2 linked regions of the Caenorhabditis elegans genome follow. The protein of the gene in region 1 purifies or fractionates together with the protein of each later gene. This does not show direct contact. Each region holds a gene or a part of one and is shown on either strand. Other genes may lie near its edges. The genes, in order: sucg-1 and acdh-12.

The links.
Region 2: the proteins of sucg-1 (region 1) and acdh-12 fractionate together in Caenorhabditis elegans (co-fractionation; one large-scale study listed by BioGRID). This does not show direct contact.

What each region holds. Positions count from the first base shown.
Region 1 is NC_003282.8:7,727,091-7,731,412, forward strand, and holds sucg-1 (Succinate--CoA ligase [GDP-forming] subunit beta, mitochondrial), read left to right. Parts: upstream 1-1,822; 5' UTR 1,823-1,829; coding exon 1,830-2,001; intron 2,002-2,047; coding exon 2,048-2,153; intron 2,154-2,258; coding exon 2,259-2,502; intron 2,503-2,550; coding exon 2,551-2,826; intron 2,827-2,869; coding exon 2,870-2,942; intron 2,943-3,004; coding exon 3,005-3,381; 3' UTR 3,382-3,560; downstream 3,561-4,322. Other genes in the region: C50F7.5 (Basic proline-rich protein), read left to right, coding at 1-549; C50F7.9 (Poly-N-acetyllactosamine extension enzyme), read right to left, coding at 3,579-3,797, 3,841-4,001, 4,047-4,143, 4,211-4,322. UniProt on the Caenorhabditis elegans protein: GTP-specific succinyl-CoA synthetase functions in the citric acid cycle (TCA), coupling the hydrolysis of succinyl-CoA to the synthesis of GTP and thus represents the only step of substrate-level phosphorylation in the TCA.
Region 2 is NC_003280.10:7,191,783-7,196,727, reverse strand, and holds acdh-12 (Very long-chain specific acyl-CoA dehydrogenase, mitochondrial), read left to right. Parts: upstream 1-1,957; 5' UTR 1,958-1,964; coding exon 1,965-2,129; intron 2,130-2,175; coding exon 2,176-2,279; intron 2,280-2,326; coding exon 2,327-2,642; intron 2,643-2,689; coding exon 2,690-2,803; intron 2,804-2,851; coding exon 2,852-3,567; intron 3,568-3,612; coding exon 3,613-3,749; intron 3,750-3,793; coding exon 3,794-3,942; intron 3,943-3,998; coding exon 3,999-4,139; 3' UTR 4,140-4,294; downstream 4,295-4,945. Other genes in the region: maoc-1 (MaoC-like domain-containing protein), read right to left, coding at 1-66, 113-254, 303-390; E04F6.4 (PLD phosphodiesterase domain-containing protein), read right to left, coding at 4,309-4,519, 4,564-4,772.

The sequences.
Region 1 (4,322 bases):
GGACCAGTGGACCCATCCGAAGATCCTCAACCATCTGTAGAGCCATCCGAAGATCATCAACCATCTGGCCCACCATCTCCGGGACCAGTGGACCCATCCGAAGATCCTCAACCATCTGTAGAGCCATCCGAAGATCCTCAACCATCTGGTCCACCATCTCCAGGACCAGTCGATCCATCCGAAGATCCTCAACCTTCTGGATCATCATCTCCAGGACCAGTGGATCCATCAGATGAACCGTCTCCATCTGGGCCACCATCTCCGGGACCAGTAGATCCATCAGAAGATCCTAAACCTTCTGAACCACCATCTCCAGGGCCAGTAGATCCATCAGATGAGCCATCTCCATCTGACCCACCAGGACCGCCAGGACCGCCAGGGCCTCCCACCAGACGCCCTCCAGGACCTCCAGGACCCCCAACAAGGCGCCCGCCAGGTCCACCTGGACCCCCAACAAGACGCCCGCCAGGGCCACCAGGGCCACCACATCACCATGATCATGGACATCATGGACACCATGGGCATCATTTCGATCAAGAGCAATTGTAATTGTACTTAAATGATCTTATGTAAATTGTGTAAAAACTATTGTAAATAAAAAACGATTGCAAAATAAAGTTGATTTTAAAACGCTTTAATTGGAGCGAACAAGACATGAAAAATTTTGCAAAAAAGCAAGTAAAAAAATAATAACAAAGACTAATTTTCAATATGGCAAGATTCACCGAGATCTGTTTTGTTTTCAAGTATCTTGAATAATTTACAATTTTTGTTAAAAACAAACGTCGAAAAAATCGGAAGGAAAGAAGGAAAGAAATAATTGTTTTCTTCTTCAATTGCTCGAATCAAACGGGACATAAAAAATCTGGGCAAGTGTCGTAAAGTTTGGGGAGCAGAAATGAATGAGATTGTTCGTCCAAAATCAATGTTTAAGTCTCTTTGTCTTACACGCTATATCGTCAGAGACAGCAATTGCCATCATGTTCCGACTTGAAAAATGTAAAAAAAAAAGAAACATTTGGTTGGGATAAGAAAATAAAATGGCGCGACAAACAATTATTGTGATTACTGTAAAACTATATCTATGCGAGTACGTGTCACAAAATGCCATTCGACTTAAATGTCCGGAGAATTTATTTTATTTAGATTTCAACTATCAAGATGTTCAAATGAAGCTGTTAAAAAGCCAAACAAAATGTTGTAATTAGATTTTTGAAAAACGGCATGTAACTCGAATGCGGCTGACAAATATAGACAACGAAAAAAAAATCTCAAAATTTCTTATTTTTATGTATATAGGCGTTTAGAACATGGTTCTTTCTATCCATTTATCTATTTTTAATGTTTAATAATCTTCATTATTAACGATTTTAGCCACAGTCTTCGTTTTCATCCAATTTTCCATCGCCCCGCCCCCTGTGGAGACGCAGAGACATTTTCTCGCGCGCTCTATTGCGAAACATTTTCCTCCCAATACATATATATCGATATATATTAATTCGCTCTTTACTCTGGCAAAAAATAAAATTTCCTAAGTAAAGTGAAACTCCTGCTTATTTTTGATAATTATATAATCCTTCGAGCTCCCAACGATACTCCGAAATAACGGCCGCGTGTTGTTTAGTGTAGTCTTTGTGGATTTTTTCCTTCCCATTCTTTCTCTAGAATTTTAAATGGTCGAGATTTTTCTGGATTTTTTTTGTTGAAAACTCCTGGTATTTGATTTGCTCAAAATTTTAAATTGTTATCTGCTTCCTTTAACAGCTCATAATTTTTGAACCTTGTTTGTTTGTCGAAAAAACCTCTCACTTGGATTTTTAAGATTAATAATGCTTCGTGCTGCTGGTAACCTATCCAAGTCAATGATGAAATCACAGCGTAGATTTCTGAATCTACAGGAGTTTCAAAGCAAAGAAATTCTTGAAAAACATGGATGCAGCGTTCAGAATTTCGTCGTTGCATCGAACAGGAAGGAAGCAGAAGAGAAATGGATGTCATTTGGTTAGTTTTTAGAAATTCATGAAAAATAAAAGCGATTAAATTTCAGGAGATCATGAGTACGTTGTGAAGGCACAAATTCTTGCTGGAGGTCGAGGCAAAGGCAAATTCATCAATGGAACAAAGGGAATCGGAGGTGTATTCATTACTAAAGAGTAAGCTTTTTTGAAAAAGTAGTAAAACTAAAAATTTGAATAAATTATATATATTTTCGAACGATTTCTTTTTAAATCCGACGAATTTTATATTTAATTTTTCAGAAAAGATGCGGCCCTCGAAGCGATCGACGAAATGATTGGAAAGAGGCTTGTCACAAAACAAACTACATCGGAAGGTGTTCGTGTCGACAAAGTAATGATTGCCGAGGGAGTCGATATTAAAAGAGAAACCTATCTTGCTGTTCTTATGGATCGTGAGTCAAATGGTCCAGTGGTGGTTGCATCTCCAGACGGTGGAATGGATATTGAAGCCGTTGCTGAAAAGACTCCAGAACGAATTTTCAAGGTGTGTCTCACAAATTATTTGTATTTCTCAAATAACCGAATTTTCCAGACACCAATTGACATTCAAATGGGAATGACTGAAGGACAGTCGCTTAAAATCGCCAAAGATCTTCAGTTTGAGGGAAAACTCATCGGAGTCGCAGCACAAGAAATTAAACGCCTTTATGATCTGTTCATTGCTGTAGATGCTACCCAAGTGGAAATCAATCCTCTTGTTGAAACTGCAGATGGACGTGTTTTCTGTGTCGATGCCAAAATGAACTTTGACGACAGTGCGGCTTATCGACAAAAAGAAATCTTTGCTTATGAAACCTTCGAGGAACATGTAAGAAAATTCAAGTGCACTTTTTTCCATTATTAGTTTTCAGGATCCACGTGAAGTCGATGCTCACCAATTCAACCTAAATTACATTGGAATGGATGGAAATATTGCTTGTCTTGGTAAGATTTATTTCTCAAATTCTATTTCTTCCTTCATTTTTGAAAATTGAATCAATTTTTAGTGAATGGAGCCGGTCTCGCAATGGCAACCATGGATCTCATCAAACTTCACGGAGGTGAACCAGCAAACTTCCTCGACGTCGGTGGAGCAGTCACAGAGGATGCTGTTTTCAACGCAGTCCGAATTATTACTTCTGATCCACGTGTAAAATGTGTTCTTATCAACATTTTCGGAGGAATTGTCAACTGTGCCACCATTGCAAATGGTGTTGTTAGTGCAGTGAACAAAATTGGATTAAATGTGCCGATGGTTGTTCGTTTGGAAGGAACTAACGTTGATGCCGCTAAACAAATCATGAAGAAGTCTGGACTCAAAATTCTTACAGCCAACAATTTGGATGAAGCCGCCGCTAAAGCTGTTTCCTCTCTTCCGAAATAATCGAAACATCTCATTTTAAGTTTATAATTTTACTTTCTAGGATTTTCCCTTAATCATTTCATTTTTCTCTTGTATTCTCGGGTATTTACTCTTGTTTTAGGATTTTTCCGTAGAGCTTGTTGTTTCTTTACCGTTGTGTTTTCCTGTTTTATTTTAGAATTTAGAATTTAAATTAAAAAAAAAATCATTTATAGAAGTCACACATTTTTGGCAAGGAATGGTTGATTACTGATATATTTTGCCCAACAATATGGATCGCAAATATTAAGAAGAAGAATAGATATCTTATCATTACTTCCACTGATCCTTCGTACACTGGCCACAAAATACCGTCTATCATAAAGAAGCTTCTTCCATGTTGCACGGAATTCTCGACGAGCTAGACGGCCTTTTGGTCTATCGTATAGGATATTGAACTGAAATTAATTATGCACACGATAATCAAACTTGAATTTTTACCTGACATGATACCAGATTTGCCTCATCGAATGCAGATTTGGTGAACAGAGCTTTAATATGTTGACTTCCATCGTAAAATATATTAACTGAATCGTAACGTAGTTTATGCACTTGTACAACTGTGAAGTATGTCAAATCAACTGCATTCGAATCTCGAGCATCTGAAGAATCTTGTATATTCATACGTGAACAAGTAATATGCTTACAATGATCAACTCCCCATCCTAAATGCCGTGCTTGTGAGCTCACATTTTGTTTTAATGTGAGGACACTATATCGAGGATCTTGATAGTGTGAGGTTTCCTGGAATTAATTTCCTTTTTTTTAATTCGTAAAGTTATTATATTCAACTAGCAAACTTCATTCGTACCGTATGCTTATCACTCAAAGAATATATCACACATTTCCTGTTGTATCTTTTAAACTCTCTTTCCATTGCAATACTTTTTGAATTGTGAATGAAAATTGAGTTACACATGTGC
Region 2 (4,945 bases), on another chromosome or scaffold:
GATTTCAATTTTCCTTCTGCTGAAAGTGGTTGATAGACTTCAATATATTGTTCTCCGTGAAGAACTCTAAAATGATTAAACATGTGTTTTCAAGAAATCTTATAAGAAAAACCTCTGAAGATCAAATTCAACTCCTGGCCAATCCATCAAAGTGTGAGCTTGAAATCCTGGAGCAACAATGTACGATGGAAGCACTTTAAAGTCTTCATGGTTCTCATAAACGTAGCACAAATCTTCTTTCGCTCGAGCACCAACTAAATGAAATTATTAATCACTATTCAAAAGGTCTTAGAAAAAATTACCTCCAAGAGCATAAATAATAGCATCTCTGGTAGAATATGAGAACTCGCATGGCTCTGCCACATGTGCGCAAGCAGTTTTCTTATCCATTTTTAAGTATTTGTCGGAGAAGAAACAAAAACCAAATAATGAAATAGAAAATGCCAATACCTAACAAGGAATCGGTACAGTGTAGTCTTGACCCCATGTGTTGATAAGACTACGCTGCAGACTACATAACGAGGGTGAAATCAATAGTTTTTTTTTAAAAATAAGCACTAAAAGAATTATTACCACATACTGATAATTATTAGATGTTTTAAATAATTTGCAAAAAAAGTATACAAGGCTTTAAATTTCAATTAAAAAATATATAAAAACTAGACTTTTGTCGGGAGAGATGTACAACGTGTTCATAGTATACTATAGTATTTGGGTTTCAACTTATAGAAAATGATCGAATAAATTTCCTTCGTTTTGAATTTTGAAGCGAAGCACGCACAAAAATTAATAGACCAGTTTCAGATTTCTCTTAATTCAGAAACATTCATCAAATACCTATGACGCCTTGTCGTCTGTTCAATAAAATTAACATGGAAGGTCGATTTATTTTTTCCGATATTTAAACAACCAAGGATTGTTTGTCGACTGTTAAATAGCTAAATTACAGTATCCATTCTACGAACCATTTCTCTTTCTTTAATTAAAAAAATAAAGCTTATTTTTTCGCGTAAAAGCCTTCCGAAAAATTCACACGTTTTCAAACTTGTGCATTCGCTAAATTAGTTTATATTTTCACTCGTTCACTTTCGTACATTGAAAGAATTCCAAATTCCATACGGTTCGTTTCTATAATGTACAGATTTATTCAGATGTAAAAAACATTAAAACATGAGCCGTCAAATATAGTGCCGACGGTGTGAACACACCACCGTAACACCGTGACGACAGATTGCGGATTCATTTTTCTTTCAGAGTACGATGCAGAAAACTTCTGTAATTGTCGTTTTTTTTCTATTTTAATTTATTTTGTGGCCGTTAAAGATAAAATATAAGACAACAAGTGTTCATACGAATTTTTCAGTACCATGAGGTGACCCGTAGAGCTATAAAATCATGTTTTTCTTGAAAATTTCATCGAACCTGCGCTAAAGTGTATTTTATCACATTGTCTTTTCACTAGTGCGTAGCCAGGGCCGTTCAAAGTACATAGGGCAAAGTCTACAAGAGATAACAATGACCGTCCTCCACGTTTCCTCTCCATCGTTTGTGTATGTTGGCGATTAATCAGTTTATTATGGAAAATTTACGAAAAATACTGAGCAAACCATGTTTCCAGTTATTTTTAGTTAACTTTTAAACTTCTTATTTTATGAAACACTCTTTTATGTAATCCAAAAAAAGCAAAAAACCTATTCGTTCTTTTTTGCGTTCATATAAAATGCTAAATACTTTTCTATAAAACTTATTCTGAATTCTATTTATTTTGATTGCTCTTGGACGTTCAGTGTAAAAAAGTATTGTTATGTCTGTGTTCTATGTTCTCTCACATGCTGCGTCTCTGCTCTATCCACCGTTCGACCCCCAAGTTGTTTTCTTCACTCTTTATCTCCGTCATCGCTATTTACCCCCTACTGATTCACTGATTGAAACCTATATTATTGGTTTTTTCTTCCAGAGAAACGATGCTGTCAACGCTGAGTAAATCTGCACGGCTCAACCAAACACGATTCATTCGTCTTTCGCATTCTGCTGCTGCTGCAAAAGATGCAAAACCGAAGAAGGTCGCTGCAGTGGACAGTCCATCATTTGTCATGAATCTTTTCAGAGGGAAAGCTGTGACTGACCAGGTATTTGAGAATTTTAGCAGGACCTGTTCAAACTGCCAATTTCCAGGTGTTTCCGTATCCTCTGAATATGACTGACGAACAGAAAGAAACTCTTGGAATGGTGATGTCTCCACTGGAAAAGATGCTTGTCGAAGTTAATGACGTCGTAAAGTGAATAATAAATCTTAAATTTACATGATCAATTTATTTATTTTCAGAAATGACGAGACTTCTGACATTCCAAGAGCAGTTTTGGACCAATTCGCTGAGCTAGGAACATTTGGTGTACTCGTTCCACCAGAGCTTGAAGGTTCCGGATTCAACAATTCTCAGATGGCCAGAGTCGCTGAAATTGTTGGAGCTTACGATCTTGGATTTGGTGTTGTCATGGGTGCTCATCAGTCGATTGGCTACAAAGGAATCCTTCTCGAGGGTACGGATGCTCAGAAACAAAAATATCTTCCCGATTTGGCAACTGGACGCAAATTTGCTGCTTTCGCTCTTACCGAGCCAACTACCGGATCTGATGCTAGTGTAAGCTAGAATATTATTAATTTCTCATAAACTTTAAATTTATTCAGTCAGTTAGAACGAGAGCTGAATTGTCTGCTGATGGTAAGCACTACGTTTTGAATGGTGGAAAAATCTGGATTTCGAACGGAGGATTCGCCGATGTTTTCACTGTGTTTGCTCAGGTAATTTATTTTCATTTTTTGGAAAAACTTTCACAATTGATTATTCAGACTCCTGTCAAGCAGGCCGATGGCTCAACAAAGGACAAGATGTCTGCATTCATTGTCGAAAGAGCGTTTGGTGGAGTCACCAGTGGACCACAAGAGAAGAAAATGGGAATCAAGGGATCGAACACAACTGAAGTTCACTTTGATAATTTAAAAATCCCGGTTGAAAATCTTCTTGGAAAAGAAGGAGAAGGCTTCAAGGTGGCGATGAACATTCTTAATAACGGAAGATTCGGAATTCCAGCTGCCTGTACTGGAGCTATGAAACATTGTATCCAGAAGACTGTCGATCACATCACCACTCGTGTTCAGTTTGGAAAGAAACTTCAAGAATTTGGAAATATCCAAGAAAAGCTGGTAGAAATGATCTCGAAACTGTATGCAACAGAGTCAATTGTCTATATGCTTTCATCAAACATGGATCGTGGAATTAAGGAGTATCAACTTGAAGCAGCTATCGGCAAGGTTCTAGCTTCAGAAAATGCTTGGCTTGTATGCGACGATGCTATTCAAGTTCACGGAGGAATGGGATTCATGCGCGAGACTGGTCTTGAAAGAGTTCTCCGAGATCTTCGTATCTTCAGAATCTTTGAAGGAGCCAATGATGTTCTCCGCCTCTTCATTGCTCTTACTGGAGCACAACATGCTGGAAAGCATCTTGCCGAGCAAGCTTCTGGAGTCGGGGGCCTTATTGGGTTGGCTGTTTCAAGAGTTACCGGGTTTGTGAAATCACATTTTTAGAATTATTAAACTGTATTTTTCAGAGGAAACACTGGCTCCAACTTTGGGCAAGTCGTCGACGCAAGTCTTCAAGATTCAGCTAAAGTATTGGATCAGCAAATTGCTTTGTTTGGACAAACAGTTCAAGGATTACTCATGAAGCATAAAAAGGGAATAATTGGTAATAAAATACCTTTGAACTGCTTTTAATTTTAATTTTTGTAGATCGTCAATATGAGATGCACCGTGTTGCCGACGCTGCCATCAACATTTACAGCTCTGCCGCTGTTCTTTCTCGTGCCACCTATGCCATCAAGAACAAATCTTCAAGTGCTGATTTTGAACGCAAAGTTGCTACTTACTACGTTGATAAGGTAATTTTTGATAACTGCCAAATTTTAAGTTTTAATTTCGATATTTACTCTTTCAGGCGATGAAATCATCAAACAGATTCCTGAAGGATGCCGGAAGTGGTGTTGAGAATGCTTCGAAGGTAGCAACAATTGAATCATTGGCGAAGGAAGTCTGTGGAAATGGAGGACTCACTCTTCAACATCCAGTTGAATTGTAAATTGTAAACTAGACTTGTTTTTTTTTATCGTAAGAAGCTCTTTTAGCCAGTCTGTATGTATCTAGAATTGAATTGCCTTCTTTTTTGAATTTTCGGGTGCGAATATTTTATTTCTTGTGCTATAAAAAACGGAAAATAAATTTTATCAATTGAAATTTTATACACGAAATTAAATGAAAATAAGCGGATCGAGAATCTGATCTTCTCCATGGTTCTTCTCGTAAACTAGTCCGTCAGCAGAGTATTTCTCATTAAATACTCCTATTTGATCAAACCCAAACCATCCGGAGAATGGGTTCGATGGTTTTGAAATTTTTGGAAGATAACCTTTTGATTCACCGTATTTTTGAAGTTTTTGTGAGTACGTGCTATGCCAGTATCTGAAGACAATGAAACATTTTAAATATTTTTTATATTTAATTACCGTTCAAATACAGCTTTTATTTGTCTATTGATATCTCCATAATGTGGTTCTTCGTCTACAATAATTGCAGTTCCAGTTGATTTGTAAAAGTATTCAGGTCCATAATTCGATGAACCAATGAAGGTTCTTGATTCGGAAATCATGAATTTTGCATGCATCTTACGATCTTTATAAGCTTCTTGAGCGGTTTGTGGAATTAAAATGAACTTCTGAAATATTTATATTTAATAAATGTTCAAATTGCGAAGGAGATTTCGAATATTACTTAAACGCGAAATTTCGCCCCACGAATACGGTACCCGGTCTCGACACGACAATTTTTGGTTGATTGCAAACGGATGTGCGCCTTTAAAGAGTACTGTAATTTCAAACTTCCGTAAAT